Linked DNA regions of Struthio camelus. The protein of the gene in region 1 interacts with the protein of each later gene in a biochemical or structural test. Links are inferred from orthologs where the notes say so. Each region holds a gene or a part of one and is shown on either strand. Other genes may lie near its edges. The genes, in order: WASL and PFN1.

Region 1 (10,575 bases):
ATAGAACAAATTAGCAACTTCATCTCCTTCACGGTATTTTGAGTTGTCAAGCATGAACAAAGTAGTGGATATTCACATAAAGCACTAATATCATTTGTACGTGCCATCTCAACGTACTATAGGAAAAGTACTTAATTGAAAGCAGTAATAGGGTAGCCATGAAAATAGCAATTAGAATAACTTGGTTGCCTGGTGTTAAAATTCTTCTAGATATCTCTAAGGTCTTAAAGAAATTTGATTATCTTTATTTACTAGGATACATTCAAAAGTGAAGATTTATTTTTAGACCTACTTATCTCTGAGGTGAAACAAGTGGACAGACTGCAGATTTTCTTGCTAATGTATCACACACGCACTAGTGGCAGTCAACTGACTGTACAGTTTTGAAAAAATAGATGGTTTTCATCTGTCTTCTCAAGACAGTTTGCTGTATGTTCAATTTTATTTTTGGTCATTTATTTCTTAAAGCTCCTACAGCATATATTTGTTAAGTTTCTGTATTTGTTAAACAGATTCTCTTTTGTCCTATAAAAACAATACAGGTCAGCGCACCAGTGGTTCTAAGTGGCCTGGAGCTGATATAAGCAATCTCCCTGAACACAAAAATCAGGCTAATCAAGATATGCACATTCTCAATCTTGCTTTATGAGGTGGAGCCATAAATCTTCAAGAATACTGATGCATAAAGACAGCATAAAGACTGCTTTTTTTTTTTTTTTTAAATATTTGCATCAAATAGCAACACCACACAGAAGCAAGGCTATTAAAAACGTACTAACACTACAGTGACAGTTTGATACAACAATGAAACCTCAAGGCTGAACATATCCATTGGATGAAGGATGACCTTGTGATAGGGATCTTGATCCTTGGTCTAATGGATGGCAGGAGAACAAGAACTGGCCTGGGCAGGAAGCAAGTGTCTCAGTGATTCCACAAAACAGGGCAGTAAAGATCTGATACTGTAAGCCCTAGTAGAAGACAGAATCCCAAAAGGAATCAGAGTACAGTTCATGCCTATCCCTTATGGTTGTTATATGCTGGATACAGAATTAAAAAAAAATAGAGAAAAACTACATGAAAACCATCCACCCAGATCCGCATTGCAATTGTCACTGAATTACAATACCTATTTGACAGTTGTTCAGTGACCTATTGGGAGTAAAGTACCCATCTCAAGCCAACTCGTAGAGGGTACATACTTATGTCATATTTAGTACTTCCAGTAAAAACGGCAGATTTTGAATGTACTTGACTGTGCTACCCTCATCTCAGTAAAGATGAGGCTTCCTGGCAAGGACCAAGCAGATTGTGAAGGGCGTTCAGTCACGCTGCAAAGAAGAACTGAGTTTTCAAAGCCAGAGCAAGCGTTCTGTCATCAATGGAATCTGCTGTAGCAACATATTTGCAGATTGCAGTGAAGGAAAGAACATGCTTTCCTTTTTCCTTTTTTTTTTTTTTTTTTTTGAAGGGGTGAGGTTCTTGAGTGCTATGGTGGCTGATTCATGGTTGAAGCGAGATTTCATTACACTGAATTTAAAAGCTGTCAGGAAACTCAGAGGAAGGAATAAATGTTCCTTTCAACATCTGTGGATAAATAAAATAAACTCATCTACTCCATTCATATTTATCACTGGGTGTAAAACTCAGAAATCATACCTCTGCTAAGGTAAAAACCAAGCACAGAGAATAAAAACAGTGTCCCAACAAACCTTGTGGATATAGAGTTTTTGGAGATGAGCTTTGATGCAAGGATAGATTCTAGCTAAGCTTGGGAAAGAAAAATGTTTTCCTCTGATTTGCAGAGCGGCTACAGAAATGTGCCACAGTTTCTGCAGCCAGCGATCAGCATACCTGTATAACAGAGAATTATTAAGAGGAGAGATAGGATGTTTCAGATACTAGTATGTGTTTTGGTCTGTCTTCTCCACAGCCCTGAAAAGGAGGATAATACAGTCCAATGAAGGAAGCAGAAAGGAGCTCTTGAAAAGAGCTAGGTCTCCCCCTGACTGATTTCACAGTTAAAACAATACCGCCGAAACCTTGCACCAGTATATCCAAAATATGATTCTTCATCCAAAGCAAAATCAATGTTATCCTTTGGTAAGCAGGACGGAAGGACACAAATTCTTCTCCTTCACCTTAAAGTCAACAGTCCGATATTGAAAATGAGAAGAAAGGATACAGCAACCAGAAAGAAATGAGTAACAGGCAATACAGGGAAAGAAAAATTCTAGCTAGTACCCAAGGCAGCATTTATGCAATGAATGAAAGAACTTACTGTCCTGCTATGTCGGTTCTCAGGCTTTAGCCTGCTCATTCCAGTGGCAAGGACGCTCTTCTGCGTGGCTGGCCCACAAAAGGAAACGATTCTTCCTACTAACCCTACAGGTTCATACGCATAAGGAATTATCAGAGGCTTTGCTGGATGATTAAAATAAAACTTAACTGCCAACTTTGCAACTTCTGTGGCTACTTCATGTCCTTCCGTGCCTGAAATGTTTAGTATATAAATTCAATAAATAGGAAAAAAAACAAATATAGACTCCTGGCTCTGTTTATTCCAGACTATTCCCTCCCCCCACTCCTGAACAAATAATCAAATATAAAATCTCTGTGAGAAAGGAAATACAGTAACTGCATCTGAAACTAACCATAAATTAACAGATGATTCAGTTACTTCCAGAGTAGGCTGAGATTCTTAAGCACTTAAAGGTTCAGTGCACAGAGAGCAGAAGCGAATGAACTTCTTTTCAGTATAATAACTAATATGCTATTTATATTGATTCAGTAACAATCTGAAACCAATTCTCTTAGATGAGTTCTATGTTGAGAGAAAAAAAAAAAGTGGTTTACTTAAAAAAGGGAACTTGTATCTTCACAAATCAAACATTATTTTCAACCACAATGAGAGTTCCTTTTTTTTGGTTACCACAAGTGGTTTTGCAGTAAATGGACCAGCGAACTCTACAGGCACAACCAAAAAGGGTGCTCAAGGAAACAAGGTCTTCTTTCCTTTTGCCCAGACTTTTACTATCCTGTTGACATACCCCTTAAACGTGGTGACAGTAATCATACATTCTTACTTCTCTTCTCCCCCCAGCCATATTTATGTGGTCACTGCAACGATGTAGGCACTTGTACTATGCTGTTCCACTTCTCATTGAATATAAAATGGAAGAGAGACGACAATATTTTTTTCCTATTGAGATCTTCATTCCTCTTTAAGCCTGCTTATTCTTCGTGTAATCAACCACCAAAGACTGCGTGACCTAAATTCAGTACTGGGACAAAATCAAGACTTGGAAAATGCAGTGCCACTACTAAAAATAAACAGACAAAATCCTTGGTGAACTGCTTCCGAGTGGAAACATTTCATCTCTTTCATTTAGATAATTAATTGTTATGTTTTAGAATGTGACCCTCACAAAACCTTTAAAATATGCTATGATTCACAGTGCTAGAAAGATCAACCTTAGGTAGAATGCTTTCCTCTCTTTTTTGCTTTTATTATTTTCAATTGCAGAATTTTATTTCTGAAATTGTATAAATACGTAAATTCTGAAATTCAAAGCACGCGACTTCAGAATAGTTATAGTATTCAACTTGTGCTTGTGACAAACTGTTGAAAAATGTAGACGTCCATATGTAAGGGTAGAATTCAGAGACATATATTTCTGTCAAAGGTATGTTTGACAAGGATAATAATTGTTTATTAAATAGTTGTTTACAATATAAACCTTTAAAATCATTACACTTGCTTATATCAATAGATGTATGTCACTTTCAACGTAGCTCAGTACCTTGGGACTATGAGCTGGTATTTTAACAATTTTGAAAGAAAAATACAAATGAGCATCAGGCTGCCGCAAAGCTTGTAGGAGTCAGCAGTGGGCAACGCAGTTTCAACCTTAGGGACTACAGTGAGAAATTCAGAGCAAAGCCTATGATAAAGGACAGCAATTTCTCTAAGACAGGTCAGCCAGAACACTGCAATTTCTTTCAAAGATAGCCAGGTAATTCTGGTTTGTGGCTTTGCTTAAAAGAACTTTCCTTGAAATTGGATGTGTTACGCAGAAATAGCAGCTCTTTGCTGGTATTACTGCTAATGTAAATATCAAAGGCAAAAATCTATTTTTCAGTGGGTCCCTTGGACTTACGACCAACTATTGATATTTCCATTTCACTTCAGGACTCACTCTTTTGCCATGATATAAAAACAGAAATGGCTTTTGCATAATTAATGAAACACAGCAGTTGAAAATAGTCCCCCCTTCCCACCCCCCCCTTCCTGTCTACCCTTAGTAAAAAAAGCAAACAAAATCCTAACAACAGAGTCTGGTTAAAGGGCCCTTAAGAATAGCTACTGGCCAGCTGGTCTGAGAAGAACACTCACTATGAAGCAAAAAGTATCACCAGTAACAATAAAACTTTATCTGGATGCAAAGATCCATACAACAAGGAATAAACAGTTAACATGAACAAAAATGAGAAAAACATCACTAAACTTAACGGGTCAAGGTGAGGAAAGTACCTATCAGAGGCCTACCATATTTTTAATTCAGCTATTTACATTGTGACCACCAATACAAGTACATACATTTCCTTGGAAAGGGTTTTGGCTATAAAATAACTCATTGCTTTATGAAACAAAAAACAAGTGCCTTGTAAAGTAGTTCATATCTGTTATCTTTTCACATACGTTCTCAATGAACGAAATGCTGCCAAAATTCTAATACACTTCAACTAAAATATTTCCCTTTCCACTAAAATACATTCTAAGTCTGGATACACTTACACGGAAAAGGAATTAAAACTGAATAATAACCTATTATTGCTGAAATGTATGTTGTAAGCATTTGGGTCCTATTCAGTGTTTTTCCTTTATAACAAAGGCCCTAGCCACTTACATGACATCTGCACATTGAGGAATGCTGTATATGCCTTTATTTTAACCTTTTGTACTGGAGGCTCAGGATTTTCCCCCATACATTTCCCCTTCCTCACACTTTCAAACACTGTTACAGGCTCTTTTAAGTAAGGGGAAAAGGGCCTAGAAGCAGTGCAGAAGGGTTTGCCATTTGTTCCCGCCTGATCTTTTGGAAGATGTGAAGGAAAGTCAGCACAACTGCGTACCAAGATTTGTGCTCACACGTTCTCCTCCTGTGCTTGTTTTTTTTTTTTTTTTAATACAAAGTAAATCATCACAGGAAGACTGGTTTGGCATTTTCCAGATGCACAACAAATTTATCAGAGAGGATGAAGTCAACCTATTCTTCGCTTAAAAATACTGAGAGAACTAGCAGGGTGCTCACTTGGACATCTGGCTTTCACCTTCATACTGGGAGGAGCATGAGCACTTCTCCTGCGGAGCTGCAAGTCGGCCTGGGCAGCGGGCAGCTGTGCTCTGGACTGCAGGGCTTGGAAAGGTCTTCAGCTCCATCCTGGCTAGCAACTACTGCACGGAGAGAGGCAGAGGGAACAGAAACCTAGCTGGCAAAGCATACCGACTGCGTACGCAGCTCCTCTGCGCTGACCCCCTGGAAAGCCTAAGTACCTGCTACTATTTCTACTTGCTATTTTACCTCAGACTGCAAAAGCCTGTGTTTAGGAGGGTAGAGTCTCGCACACCCCCTCCTACGTCTCTGTGTGACCGAGCACGGAGGAGCTGCCTCTGCGCAGCAAAGGCTGCAGGAATTACCCACCCCGCGCAACACAGCTTGGAACAGCAAAACTGACTGGATGATTTGCCAGATAAGCCATCAGGAAACATTTTCCTTTCAATAACAAACATTCAAAGGATTTTTGAGTTATAAATTAACTCACATTTGACTAAAAATTTAACAGGAATTCAACCCTGGCCTTCTAACACGCTCTTCATCACCTCCATCCTCAAAGCACTGCACGAAGCCAACCACACTGCGCGCTCACGTTGGTAACGAACTTAAGCAAAAACGACAACGGCGGAGGGGGGGGGTTTCACCACGAACGCTTTTTATGCCCTGTCCCGTTCCGGGTGACTTTTGAGTACGGGCCCGAATTTTTCTGACACGTTTTCCTCACACGGGTGGGCAGCGGCGGCTACCTCGCCGCCTCAGCCCCCGCCACCGCTCCCCGTCCGGCCCGGCCGCCGCCTCGCCGCCAGCCTGGATTCCGCTCCGGGCCCAGCGGCCGGGCGCGCTCCTCCCGGCCCCGGCCCCGGCCCCGGCCCCGGCCCCGGCCCCGGCCCCCTCCGCCAGCAGCCGCCGAGCCGAGCCGGCCCGGCAGGTATTGAGGGGGGAGGGCGCGGGGCGGCCCCCGCCAGCTGCGTGAGCCAGCGCGGCCCGCCCAGGGGCTGCCGGCCGGGGCGGGGCGGAGCAGGGCGGGACGGGACGGGACGGGACGGCAGGCGGCGGGTCCCCGCACCGCGCATGGTAGCGGCGGCGGCGGCGGCAGCAGCGCGCTCGCCGGCCTCCCCTCTGGCTGCCGCGCGCTGTGGTCTCGCCCGCCCCCGCTGCCATGTTGGATTGTGCGGCCGCCGGAGCCGGGCCGAAGTTGGAAGTTTAGTGGCCGCCGCGGGGGTGGGCGCGATCCGCCGGCGGCGGCGGGGCGGCCCGACGCCTCCTCTCTCCCCTCCCCTCCCCCGCGGGCCGCCGGCAGCTCGCCGAGGCCCGGCCGCCGCTCTCCCCCCGCCCCCTCCCGCCTTCCCCGGCCCCGAGAGGGAGGCTCCGCGATGCGGCTGCCGTGAGGCCGCGGCGGCCAGGAGCAGGACGAGGAGGAGGGGGCGGCCGCGGGCGCCGACGGTCGCAGCGCGGCGAGGGCAGTGCCGAGCCCCGCGGGGCCGGCGCCGGCGCCGGCCATGAGCGGCAGCCAGCAGCAGCAGCAGCCCCCGCAGCCGCGGCGGGTCAGCAACGTGGGCTCCCTGCTGCTGACCCCGCAGGAGAACGAGAGCCTCTTCACCTTCCTCGGCAAGAAATGCGTGGTGAGCCCCGCGGGGAGCGGCGCGGCGGGGGGGGGACCGGGCCCGGCCCGGGGCCGGGGCCGTGTGAGGACAGGCGGGGGACCGCGTCCGGGACCTTGTCCGCCCTCGCCTCGCCTCGCCTGGCCGGCCCGTACGCGGCTCCCAGCCCGGAAGTTTCTCCCCGGCCCAGCCGCCTTCCGCGTCGCCGGCGCCCGGGCGGGGGACGGCGCTGCAGGCCCGGCCTCCGCGCCCGCCTGGCCCAGGAGCTGCGGCCTCGCGCGGGGCCGGCGGCGGAGGAGGCGGAGGAGGAGGAGGGCTGCGGGCGGCAATGAATGAGGCGAGCGTGGCGCTGCCGCCGCCGCCGGCAGGGGAGAGGAGAGGAGGGAAGGGGAGGCCGCGCCGCCCGCAGGTGGCGGGGCCTCGCCCGCGCTGCCGCGGCCAGAGGGGGCCGCTTCCCGCAAGCGCTGCGCCGCGCCGGGCCCGGCCCGGCCCCCTGCCCGTGCGGGAGCCGTGCGCGCTGCGGGGGCGCCGGGCTGGGCCGCTCCGGGCCTGGCGCCGCCGCGGGCTGCGCGGGGCCGCTCGGCGCCGGCCGTTTCTCCGGGCGGCCCTCTGGAGCGGCGCCGGCAGCCGTGCCCAGCGCCTGCCCGGCCTGTCCTGCGGGGGGCGGCGGCGGCGAGCCCCCTCGCCTCTGCCCCGCGACCAGCCTGCGGTTTGGCCGAGGGGACGGGGCAGCCATGGAGCTGCTGCAGCAGCACTCGGTGGAAGAGTTTAATTGCCTGACGAGGCTGACATGAGTCCCGGTTGCACCTGTGGTACAACAAAGCAATACTGACAAAGTTGGAGGAAGGCTCGTGTGGGTACTAGGCCTGCCTTGGATGTAGCCTGTGCTTTTGTTAGCCTGATCAACAGGCTTGCATCTTTAGCTGCAACTTCAATACTGCGTTACTCCCTGTCAAAAAAGAAATGCGATATCAAGATTAAAAAAGGGGTGGGGGGGGGGAAAGGTGTAGTAGATGTGTTCCCAAGTTCATCAGTAAGTTCTTAGTTTCTTGAATAGCTTCTTGCCTATTAATATAATGTAGTTATGAAGTATAGTTTTAATATAATTTTCAGAGCTTCAGGAGTTAACTGCATATATTTTTTCCTAAAGGACTTATCATTTTTCAAATTATCTTTTTGAAGCCATTTTAAATGATGCTATCCTGATGTTTTCTGATACTTCACGTCCAGTGCCTAGAACAGCAACGTTAGGCACCTACACCTTCTTGTGGCACTATTTTAAAGCAGGATATCGGTGTCATCATAATACATAACCCTGTGGACTTTGAAATGGTGCTGTTGATCAAACCGGTTGTTGCAAGGAAGGAAAGAGATATAACCGAACAGGAAATGGGTGATGTTTGCATTGGGGTGAGTTAAGTAACATGAGGTTATCATAATTAAGTTGCTGCCATTTTCAGATGGGTCAGAAAGCGTGATTGTGAAATATGTAAAAAGAGACTTATGCTAAAAAGTAATACATTTGTAAGAAACACCTTTATCTCACTACTTGAATTACTTTCAGGCACACATTTCATGCATTTCATTCCATTACAAGAAAAAAAGTAAACTGTTGTCTATATTAAAAGGAAGCACATGAATTTGTGTGCTTCAGTTGATTTCCAGTTGTTTTTTCTGTGGCTTAGATTTTCTTGTCAAGGGAATGTGTCTGTTTTTGTTATGTATGCTCAGCTGTAACGCTCATCTTAAGTTTTTGAAATGTGTTATTTATGGGGATAAGTTAAACCGGCCTCAAGGTAAACAACTTCATAGTGTCTGGATGATGTGTGGTTTGTGACATGTTGATAGCTTTATAGATACAGGGTTTTTTTGTTTTTTGGTTTTTTTTTGAGACTACACATTCTTGCCATTTAGTCTGAATCTTGAATGACTTTCTAACTGAGAATTTCTTTTTATTATTTTTTTTTAATTATGGCCACCCCCTTTACCCTTCTTCTCCTGCCCTATATGTTTTCTAGCTTAAGGTCAGGCATCTTACTGTAATTGAGGGTCTATATCATATGCTTGAGGACTTGGGTCCAGAAGACTATCAAAGATAGTACTCTAGACTTCTTGGCTTTCTTTAGCATGCTGAGGCAAAATTGTGGCAATTCAGAAACTACTTTGTGAACAAATTGAACACCTCTATCCCAGGGACAGCAGTGGATAGGTACCTGGGGATGATAACAGCTTCGACTTTCCAATTTGAATCCATCAAGTCTGACAGAGCTGTATGGTACTCTGTATACCGTTGATCTTCTAATTTGAGTACAACTCAGTGTCAGTGTGCTATGCTATTTTTTTGTTTGTTTGTTTGTTCTTTACTATAACATTATATTTGATATTTTAGTAATATCCATGTTTGGAATTAGTCATTATTGAAGCTTTAGACAGTAAATATTACTAGTAAACAAAAATTTTGCAAGTTTCACAGGATGTTAAAAGTTTATTTTGACTTGGGCGGAATTGACTGTGCTACCTGGCTACTGCAGGTGGTATTTGCATCAGTTTGGACGTGGATATGCTACCGGATGTGAAGAGTAATAAACTGAGAAAACTGCTTTTAAAATGCATTGAGCATAATACAATTGTATTTGTCAAAGCCAAAATACAAGTTGCAATAATCATTGAGATAAAAGAGAATAAAAAACTGAATGGGAGCCTTAGTTCTTAATTGGTAAGACGTAAAGATTTTTATCGGGAAAGAGCCCGTAAGACTTCTTGTGCGTATGAAAACAGCATGAACTAAGACTTAAAGGCAGCTTGCAAACCAACAGACAAGTTTATGTGACTGTGAAGTATTTCAGTTGTGCTTATGCTGCTGGCTGTGCATCCATAAAGGTATCCGAAAGGTTGAGGTCCTAGCCTGAATAGGAGGCATTTCTAGGAGAGAGAAGAAGTAGTGAATCACCAGTTTAGAAGTGGTAGTTATCTCATTTAGAAACATACAAAGAGATGAGATGCAGAGGGGGAAGACAAAGCATAAAGGATAAGGCCCTGTAGGAGGCAGGAATATTAAGAGTTACATACACGTTTCTTTTGAGGTCTTTGTCATGTTTTATCAAAAGGCATACAACTTCTTTGTATGCCTCATTAATATCCAGTGGAGTAATTTCTCTAAACAACTTGTTAGCGATCATCTTCCCTTCTAGACAGAATCTCATTGGTTTTTTTTTTTTTTTTTGGTGACAGTTCCTTTGAACTAAACTTGTGCCTACAAAACTGATTCCTCACAGGAAGAGGTCAAATTGGACTCTTTGCAGCAAGTGGCTTAGCCATTGTCCTTAAACTGCTTTCATGCATCTACAATAGGGTTACTTATCATAAAATATTTCATGCTTATTTTCCTCATAGCTTGCTCTTGGACTGCAGTTGCGAAATGTGCTGAAAACAAAAGATTGTTTAGTCGTGGGTGAGAAATGTGTTGAGACCACGTATGAACACTCGAGTAGGCATTTGTGTCCCATAGTTGTTCGTATTTGAAACAAAGCATTGAGTCACCAAGAATGGGATTCGGTTCAGGATTAAGAGAGAGCAATTTAGGTGTTTGAGTTCCATTATTGTCAATAGGCGTGACTGGCTTCCGTCTAGATCTC
Region 2 (9,672 bases), on another chromosome or scaffold:
GGCCCTGGCGGGCGCCAGCCCCGACCCCCCCCGCACCCGCTTCCGCCCCGGCTCCCCTCCCCCGCGGCGCCCGGACGCCTGGGCCCGCGCCCCGGCTCACCCCAGGCAGCCCGGACGCCTGGGCCCACGGCGCAGGGGGACCCGGACACTTGGGCCCACCCCGGCCGCCTGGGCCCTCACCCCAACAGAGGGGTCACAGCGAGGCCAGGCCACGGGAAGGGTGACGGGGGGGGGGCCTGGGTGCTGTCCCGGACGCCTGGGTTCACGGGAGGCAGGGGGGCCCGGACTCCTGGGCCCGCGGGTGACGCGGCTCCGCAGGGGACGAGTACGAGGTCTGCGCCATCTGCCTGGACGAGTACGAGGAGGGCGACCGGCTGCGGGTGCTGCCCTGCGCCCACGGTGAGCGCCGGGGCGGGGCAGGGGGACGCCTGGGTCCCTCCCGGACACCTGGGCCCCCTGACCGCCCCCGCCCCCGCAGCCTTCCACAGCCGCTGCGTGGACCCCTGGCTGACGCGCACCCGCCGCACCTGCCCCGTGTGCAAGCAGCGGGTGCCGCCGGGCACCGAGGAGCCGGCGCCCCAGGGCGACACGGGCGCCTCCGAGCGCACCCCGCTGCTGCCCCCCGCCCCCGTCTGACGCGGACGCCGGGGCCCCCCAATAAAGGCTCGTGGCCAACCCGGCTCCGGCTCCTCTCGGGGATCGGGGGGAGGCACCGCACCCCGGACGCCCCCGGCACCCGAGCGGGGCTCCAGCATCGCTCGAACCTGCCGCCCGAACTCGCCCCCGGCTCCAGCACCCAAGGGGGGTCCGGGACGCCCCAGCTGAGCCGGTCCCCAGCACCCCAGACCCCTCCAGCACCCAAAGGGGCTCCAGCACCTTGAACCACCTCTGGGACCCCCCTGTCCTGCCCCAGCAGCCCAAGGGGCTCCGGGACCCCAAACCCAGGGCTCGAGCTGGTCCCTGGGCCCCAGACCAGCTCCAGCACCCAGAGGACCCTCCAGGACCCCCCACCCAGCTCCACCAGCCCAGCCCAGCTCCAGCACCCAGAGGACCCTCCAGGACCCCCCAATCTGGCTCCAGCACCCAAAGGTGCTCTGGACCCCCCAGCTCTCCCCAACGCACCCAAGGGTGCCCCGTCCCCCCCTCCCATCCCCCGTGACGCTGGCTCCAGCCTGGCCGGACTTTGCCCCGGGCAGGCCCAGGCGTCCCCGTCCCCCCCCCCCAGCGGCGCGGGCCCCGGTGTCCGGGCGCAGCAGCAGCAGGCGGGTGCCGCGGGTGCCGCAGCCTTTATTGGGTCAGTACTGGGAGCGCCGCAGGTGCGCCGCCATCTCGTAGCACTTCTTGTTGACGCAGCCGCCGTGGACGCCCTCCTTGCCCATCACCAGCACGATCGCTGCGGGGGGGGGGGGGGTCAGCAGGGCCCAGGCGTCCGGGAAACCCCTCCATGGGGGGGCCCGGCCCACCGGGAACCCTCCCACATCCCCCCCCCCGCAAGGGGGCCCAGGCGTCCGGGTGCAGCTGCTCCGCGAGGGGAACAGCTGCCCCTTCTCACAACAGCTGGGGGGGCAGAGGGGCCCAGGCATCCGGGGGGGATGGGGAAGCGACCCAGGGACCCAGGCATCCGGGGACAGAGCAACAGGGAGCTGGGAGGGGGGAGGGGATGGGAAAGGGACCCAGGCGTCCAGGAGGAGCGAGCAGAGGGGAGGGGATCCAGCACCCAGCAGGGAGGATGGAGGGACCCAGGCGTCCGGGGCAGGTGCGGGGGTGACCCAGGGGCAGCACAGAGGGGCCCAAGCGTTCGGGCATGGTGTGGAGCAGATGCGGAGGTAACGTGGGGTTGGCGTGAGGGGCCCAGGTGCCCGGGGCGGGTGCAGAGCGCACACGGGGGCGGCGTGAGGGGCCCAGGTGTCCAGGGTGGGCGCAGAGCGGACACGGGGGCGGCGCGAGGGGCCCAGGTGCCCGGGGCGGGTGCAGAGCGGACACGGGGTTGGCGTGAGGGGCCCAGGTGTCCAGGGTGGGCGCAGAGCGCACACAGGGGGGACGTGGGGGTGGCACGAGGGGCCCAGGTGCCCGGGGCGGGCGCAGAGCGCACACAGGGGGGACGTGGGGGTGACACGAGGGGCCCAGGTGCCCGGGGCGGGCGCAGAGCGCACACGGGGGGGACGCGAGGGGCCCGGGCGGACACTCACTCTTGTTGGTGACGGTGGCGGTGATGTTGAAGGTGGGGGCGCCGGCGGCGCTCTTGGTGCGCAGGTCCATGCTGTGCTCGCCCTCCACCAGCAGCGAGTCGCGGATGACGGAGCACTTCTGCCCGCCCAGCGTCAGCCCGTTCACCAGCAGGCTGCTCCGGTCCTTCCCCACCAGCGCGTTCACCTCCGCCGCCTGCCGGGCCACGACCCCCGCCGTCAGGGACCCAGGTGTCCGGGCGGGGGGGCGTGGCCCGCCCTGACACCCCCCCGGGGACCCAGGCGTCCGGGGCAGCACCGTGAGCCGCCCTGACACCCCCCCGGGGACCCAGGCGTCCGGGGCAGCACCGTGAGCCCGCCCTGACACCCCTCTGGGGACCCAGGCGTCCGGGGCAGCACCATGAGCCCGCCCTGACACCCCCCCGGGGACCCAGGCGTCCGGGGCAGCACCGTGAGCCGCCCTGACACCCCTCCTTGGGACCCAGGCGTCCGGGGCAGCACCATGAGCCTGCCCTGACACCCCTCCTCGGGACCCAGGCGTCCGGGGCAGCACCGTGAGCCACCCTGACACCCCTCCTCGGGACCCAGGCGTCCGGGGCAGCACCGTGAGCCGCCCTGACACCCCCCCGGGGACCCAGGCGTCCGGGGCAGCACCGTGAGCCACCCTGACACCCCTCCTCAGGACCCAGGCGTCCGGGGCAGCACCGTGAGCCCGCCCTGACACCCCTCCTCGGGACCCAGGCGTCCGGGGCAGCACCGTGAGCCGCCCTGACACCCCCCCGGGGACCCAGGCGTCCGGGGCAGCACCGTGAGCCCGCCCTGACACCCCTCCTCGGGACCCAGGCGTCCGGGGCAGCACCGTGAGCCTGCCCTGACACCCCTCTGGGGACCCAGGCGTCCGGGGCAGCACCATGAGCCCGCCCTGACACCCCTCCTCGGGACCCAGGTGTCCGGGGCAGCACCGTGAGCCCGCCCTGACACCCCCCCGGGGACCCAGGCGTCCGGGGCAGCACCGTGAGCCACCCTGACACCCCTCCTCGGGACCCAGGCGTCCGGGGCAGCACCGTGAGCCCGCCCTGACACCCCTCCTCGGGACCCAGGCGTCCGGGGCAGCACCGTGAGCCGCCCTGACACCCCCCCGGGGACCCAGGCGTCCGGGGCAGCACCGTGAGCCCGCCCTGACACCCCTCCTCGGGACCCAGGCGTCCGGGGCAGCACCGTGAGCCGCCCTGACACCCCTCCTCGGGACCCAGGCGTCCGGGGCAGCACCGTGAGCCGCCCTGACACCCCCCCGGGGACCCAGGCGTCCGGGGCGCCCAAGAGCCCAGACCAGCACCAGCTCCTCCAGGGACCCAGGCGTCCGGGCGCCCGCCCCGGCACCCTCCACAGGCAGGACCCAGGCGTCCGGGGCATCCCCAGCCGCGCCGGCCCAGGCGTCCCGGACCCCACCCAACGCCCTGCCGGGGGCCCAGGCGTCCGGGAGCTCCCTCAGCCTCCGCCAGGGGCCCAGGCGCCCGGGCACCCCTCTGCCCGCCGCCCCGGGGGGCCCAGGCGCCCCCTCCCCTCCCCCACAGGAAGCCCCGGCCGCCCCTCCCCCGCCGGGGGGAAGTTGCCACATTCCGCGCATTTTTCTCAGCGGGGGGAGGGGGGAGACACCGGCGACCCCTCGGCGGGCGGGCAGAGGGCCCAGGCGTCCGGGCCCCCCCGCAGCCCCTCCGCCACGTGCTCGCCGCAGCCCGGACGCCGGGGCTCCTTCCCCAAACCGGGGGTGGCTGGGGAAGGGGAGGGGGTAAAGGGCGCCCGGGCCCCCCGCTGGAGCGGGGAAGGGGGGCGGCCCGGGCGCCTGGGCCCCCCCGCGCGGCCCGGCCGCCTGGGTCCCCTCCCCGGCGGCGGGGGGGGCCGGGCCACGCTGGCAGCGGCCGGGGCCGCTCCCGGACGCATTTTTCTCCCTTTTTTGTCCCGATTGGGGCCGGGGGGGGGAAGGGGATGGGATGGGGGGGATGGGCAGGATCCGGCCCCCCCTCCCCCCGGTCACTTCCTGCCGGCGGGGGGAGGGGCCGGGCCCGACCCCCGGCCCGGGGGGGCCGCGGCGCGGGCGGGCGGGGGGGGGGGCCGGACGCCTGGGCCGGCGGGGGGGCCCGGGGACACCCCGCGCCCCGGGACCGCCGCGGAATCGCCCCCAACGGCCGCCGCCCCCCCGCGGCGCCGCCGCCCGGGCCCCACCGTGATGTTGGCGAAGGTCTTGCCGGGGGTGGCGGCCCAGACGGCCGGCGTGTCCTTGTAGCCGACGATGGCGGCGTCCTGGCAGGTGCCGTCCGCCATGAGGCTCTCCACGTAGGGCGCCCACCCGCTCATGGCGGCGGCGGCGGCGGCGGCGGCGCGGGCCGGGCGGGCGGGGCGGGGCCGGCGGGGGCGGGGCCGGCGGCGGCGGCGGCGGCGCGTGCGCGGAGCGGGCGGCGGGCGCGAGACGGGGCCCCGCGGCGGGGCCGCGCGCCGCCTTTCATAGCCCCGCGCGGCGGGGGCGGGGCTTCCGCGGGGCGGGGCTCGCCCGCAGGGGGCGGGGCTCGCCCGCAGGGGGCGGGGCCGCCGCGGGACACGCCCCCCCCAGCCCGCCCGGCGGCGGCGGCGGCGGCGGCGGCAGAGCGACCCCGGGCAGCGGCGGGCGCTGGGCGACAGGCGCTGCCCCCCCCCCAGCACTGCCCCCCCCGGGCACTGCAACCCCCCCGGCACTGCAAACCCCCCCCCCCCCGCACTGCAACCCCCCCCGGGGCACTGCACTCCCCCCCCCCCCGGGCACTGCACTCCCCCCCCCCCCGGCGCTGCCCCCCCCCCCCCGGGCACTGCACACCCCCCCCCCCCAGCACTGCACCCACCCCCCCAGCACTGCAACCCCCCCCCCCGGGCACTGCACCCCCCCCCCCCCGGGCACTGCACAAGGGGCGCTGTATGACGGGTGCTGCACCTCAGACACTGCCCCCCCCCGACACTGCACCCCCCCCCCGGCACTGCATAATGGGCACTGCACCGCAGGCACTGCACAGCGGGTGCTGCACCCCCCCCCCGGGCACTGCACACCCAGCACTGCACCTGCTAGCGCTGCCCCCCCCAGCATTGCATCCATGTGCACTGCACACGCACAGCCCGGGTGTTGCATCCACCTGTGTTGCATCCCCGGGGCACCGTGCACGTGCACACACGTGTGCAGACACTGCGCACACACACACACACACGCACACACACACACGCACACACACACACGCGCACACACACGCGCACACACACACGCGCACACACACACGCGCACACACGCACACGCACACACAAGCGCACACGCACGCACAGATGTGCACCCCCCACCCCCCCCCGGGGATTGCACATGCAAACCAGTCAGTGCATCCCCGTGCACTGCATCCCTCCGGCGTCGCACACGCAACATCTGGGCACTGCAGCTCCCTCCCGCCCCCCCGCCCCCCTCGAGCGTTGCACGCACACGTGCGCACGCCCCCCCCCCCCCCAGCAGCCCCTCCGGGTGCGGCACCCTTGTGCTGTGTGCACCCGCGGGTGCATCGCACCCCCCGGCCTTGCAGCCGGGTGCGTTGCACCCTCCTCGTGCCGTGCAACCCGCGGGCATCACCGCGCCTTGCACGCCCCTGCACGTCGCCCCCCCCCTTGCACCCCTCCCCGGCCTCCGCACCCCCCTTTGCACGGCCCCTCCCTGCGGGTGACACCCCACGTTTCCTGCCGCCACGGCCCCCCCGGCGTCGCCCTCGGTGGCGCGTTGCACCTCTTCGCGGCCCCCTCCCCAGCTCCCTGCGCCGGGACCCCCGTGTCCGTGTCACACGCAGCCCCCCGGACATGCGTGTCCTCGTGCCAGCATGGAGCAACGCACAGGCCGTGCGGCGCCTCGGCCCCTGTGCGACACCCCCCCGGTGCAATGCAGCCCCCCGTGTGGTGCAGCCCCAGTGCAATGCAACCCCTGGTGCAACGCACCCAACTCCCGGTGCAACGCACCCCTCGTGCACTGCAACCCCTGGTGCAACGCACCCAACTCCCGGTGCAACGCACCCCTCGTGCACTGCAACCCCTGGTGCAATGCACCCAACTCCCGGTGCAACACACCCCTCGTGCACTGCAACCCCTGGTGCAACGCACCCAACTCCCGGTGCAACGCACCCCTCGTGCAATGCAACCCCTGGTGCAACGCACCCAACTCCCGGTGCAACGCACCCCTCGTGCAGTGCAACCCCTGGTGCAACGCACCCAACTCCCGGTGCAACGCACCCCTCGTGCAGTGCAACCCCTGGTGCAACGCACCCAACTCCCGGTGCAACGCACCCCTCGTGCACTGCAACCCCTGGTGCAACGCACCCAACTCCCGGTGCAACGCACCCCTCGTGCACTGCAACCCCTGGTGCAACGCACCCAATTCCCGGTGCAACGCACCCCTCGTGCACTGCAACCCCTGGTGCAACGCACCCAACTCCCGGTGCAACACACCCCTCGTGCAATGCAACCCCTGGTGCAACGCACCCAATTCCCGGTGCAACGCACCCCTCGTGCACTGCAACCCCTGGTGCAACACACCCAACTCCCGGTGCAACGCACCCCTCGTGCAATGCAACCCCTGGTGCAACGCACCCAACTCCCGGTGCAACGCACCCCTCGTGCAATGCAACCCCTGGTGCAACGCACCCAACTCCCGGTGCAACGCACCCCTCGTGCACTGCAACCCCTGGTGCAACGCACCCAACTCCCGGTGCAACGCACCCCTCGTGCACTGCAACCCCTGGTGCAACCCACCCCTCGCGCCATGAGCCCCCCAGCACAGCGCAACCCCAGAGCAAACCAACTCCTGGTGCAACGCCCCCCCCCGTGCGATGCCCCCCCGCCGCGCTCCCCGCCCCGTGCACACGCGTGTGCGATCGCACATGCATCGGCCCATATCTCCCGGCTGCTTTGAGTCAGCCCCGGGCGGGGACTTTCCGGGGGGGGGAGGGGGGGAGGGGCGGCGGTTTCACTTCCTGTCCCGGGCGGGGGAGGGGGCCGAGGCGCCGGCGCTGGGGGCAGGCGGCGTCCGGGGGACCCAGGCGTCCGGGCAGCGGGCCCTGGACCCCGCGCCTGCCTGGGGACCCAGGCGTCCGGGGGACCAGGGGGTCGGAGGCAGCCGGGCGCCTGCCCCTCCCCCCCGCTGCGAACTTCCCCCAGCAGTGTCGCCACCGCGGCCCCTCCCCCGCTCACGCCAACCCGGGGCATCATGGGAAATGGGGGGGGGGCAGGAAACCAGCTCGTCCTGGCCGAGGGACCCAGGCGTCCGGGGGCCCCTCTGCCCCCCCCCGGGGCCCAGACATCCGGGGCCCCCCCCGGGGCCCAGGCGTCCGGGGGCCCAGGCGTCCAGGGGCCCTGCCCCCCCCGGGGCCCAGGCGTCCGGGCCCGCCCCGCCCCCGCCCCGCTGTGGGAACTTCCCCGGGAAGTGGGTTTTTAGCAGCGAGCGGAGCCGGGGCCCCTCCCCCTCCCCCTGCCCTATGGGCTCCATAGGGCCCGACCCCCCCCCAACGTCCCCTATAGGCCCCACGGGGCCCATCTCCCCCCTCCCGTTTCCCCTATAGGGCCCCGGCCCCTATAGACCCCGCAGGGCCCCTCCCCTCCCCCCATCCCCTATGGATCCCATAGGACCGGTGCCATTCCCAGCACAGCCGCCAGGCGTCCCCCTCCCCCCCCCAGGGACCCAGGCGTCCGGGGGCTCCCCCCCCCCCCATCCTCCAGGGACCCAGGCGTCCGGGTGCTCCCCCCCCCCCATCCTCCAGGGACCCAGGTGTCCGGGCGCCCCCGTGCGGTGGGGCCCAGGAGTCGCCCAGGGACCCAGGCGTCCGGGCAGCCTCAACTCCAGGGGACCCAGGCGTCCGGGTACCCCCAGTCCCGGGGGGACCCAGGTGTCCGGGTGCCCCCAGCCCAAGGGGGACCCAGGCATCCGGGTGCTCCCCCCCCCACATCCTCCAGGGACCCAGGCGTCCGGGCAGCCTCGGGGGGACCCAGGCATCTGGCTGCTCCCAGCCCACGGGGGCCCAGGCGTCCGGGCGTCTCGAGTTACCGTGTCCTTTCCTCGAGCTCCGACCTTTGGGGGGGGCTAAAAATAGCCCGGGGGGGGCAGGGACCATCGCAAAGTGCCACCAGGGCCACCAGCGCCCGGACGCCTGGGCCCCCTGGGGGCTGCGAAGCCTGGTGGGGGAGGGGGGCAGCTGGGCCCCCCCGGACACCTGAACCCCCTGGGGGGGGCAGCGGGGCAGAGCGGGGGTCCCCGGACGCCTGGGCCCCCGGGGGGGCAGTCAGGCCTGGCGGGTGGGGCAGGGGCGAGCCCACCCGGACGCCTGGGCCCTGGACGCCTGGGTCCCGCGTTTGCAGATGGTCCCTGGGGGAGGCGGGGGCAGGGGATGGGCATAAAAGGCCCTCGGGGACCCCCCGGGGTCACTCGGAGCCCAACCAGCACCAGTGAGCAGCAGCGCCCGGACGCCTGGGTCCCTGTGGGGTGCCCGGACGCCTGGGACCCCCCGGATGCCTGGGACCCCTGGGGGTAGCGGGGTCTATAGTGCAGAGCGGGGCCACCCGGACGCCTGGGCCCCCCCCGGACGCCTGGGTGCCCTGAGGGCAGTGGGGTCTATAGTGCAGAGCGGGGCCACCCGGACGCCTGGGCCCCCCCCGGACGCCTGGGTGCCCTGAGGGCAGTGGGGTCTATAGTGCAGAGCGGGGCCACCCGGACACCTGGGCCCCCGGTGGGGGGGAGAAGGGCAGGGAAAGCTGGCGCTCGGACGCCTGGGCCCCCTGGTGTGGCGGGGGGCGGCGTGGCTGCGGGGGGCGCCCGGACGCCTGGGTCCCCCTGGCCCTGACGCCTGCCCCCACCCCCCCCCAGCAGCCATGTCCATCCAGAAGATCCACGCGCGGGAGATCCTCGACTCCCGCGGGAACCCCACGGTGGAGGTCGACCTGCACACGGCCAAGGGTGGGCGCCGGGGCCGGGGGGACACGGGCAGAGGTGGGGGACATGGGGGACATGGGGGGACGGGGGGGTGGGACGCAGGTAGCTGGTGGGACATGGGGGGACATAGGAGGTCCTGGGGGGACATGGGGGAATGTGGGAGGGCCTGGGGGCATGTGGGGGGGACATAGGGGGCCCATGGGGGGTTGTGGCCCCCCCCGGCTCACTCCAGCCCCCCAGGCCACTTCCGCGCTGCCGTCCCCAGCGGCGCCTCCACGGGGATCCACGAGGCCCTGGAGCTCCGCGATGGCGACAAGAGCCGCTACCTGGGCAAAGGTGAGACCCCACAGGGCCCCCCAAGACCCAGCAACCCCCCCAAGACCCAACCGAGACCCCCAAAACCCAACGATCCCCCCCAAGACCCAGCCGGGTCCTCCAAGACCCAAATGAGTCCCCCAAAGCCCGACAAACTCCTCAAAACCCAGCCGGATCCCTCAAAACCCAACTGGGTCCCCC

What was found.
Region 2: the proteins of WASL (region 1) and PFN1 form a complex in vitro, tested with the Homo sapiens proteins (2 studies listed by BioGRID). The link is inferred for Struthio camelus from reciprocal best matches to the Homo sapiens genes WASL and PFN1.

Annotation. Positions count from the first base shown.
Region 1 is NC_090942.1:24,921,290-24,931,864, forward strand, and holds the start of WASL (actin nucleation-promoting factor WASL), read left to right. Parts: upstream 1-6,368; 5' UTR 6,369-6,838; coding exon 6,839-6,961; intron 6,962-8,127; exon of another isoform or gene 8,128-8,269; coding exon of another isoform or gene 8,270-8,350; intron 8,351-10,575. UniProt on the Homo sapiens protein: Regulates actin polymerization by stimulating the actin-nucleating activity of the Arp2/3 complex. Involved in various processes, such as mitosis and cytokinesis, via its role in the regulation of actin polymerization.
Region 2 is NW_027182728.1:90,523-100,194, reverse strand, and holds PFN1 (profilin-1), read right to left. Parts: upstream 4,656-9,672; 5' UTR 4,542-4,655; coding exon 4,410-4,541; intron 2,383-4,409; coding exon 2,190-2,382; intron 1,394-2,189; coding exon 1,296-1,393; 3' UTR 1,270-1,295; downstream 1-1,269. Other genes in the region: E3 ubiquitin-protein ligase RNF167, read left to right, coding at 319-399, 479-636; ENO3 (beta-enolase), read left to right, coding at 8,615-8,672, 9,091-9,180, 9,397-9,492. UniProt on the Homo sapiens protein: Binds to actin and affects the structure of the cytoskeleton. At high concentrations, profilin prevents the polymerization of actin, whereas it enhances it at low concentrations. By binding to PIP2, it inhibits the formation of IP3 and DG.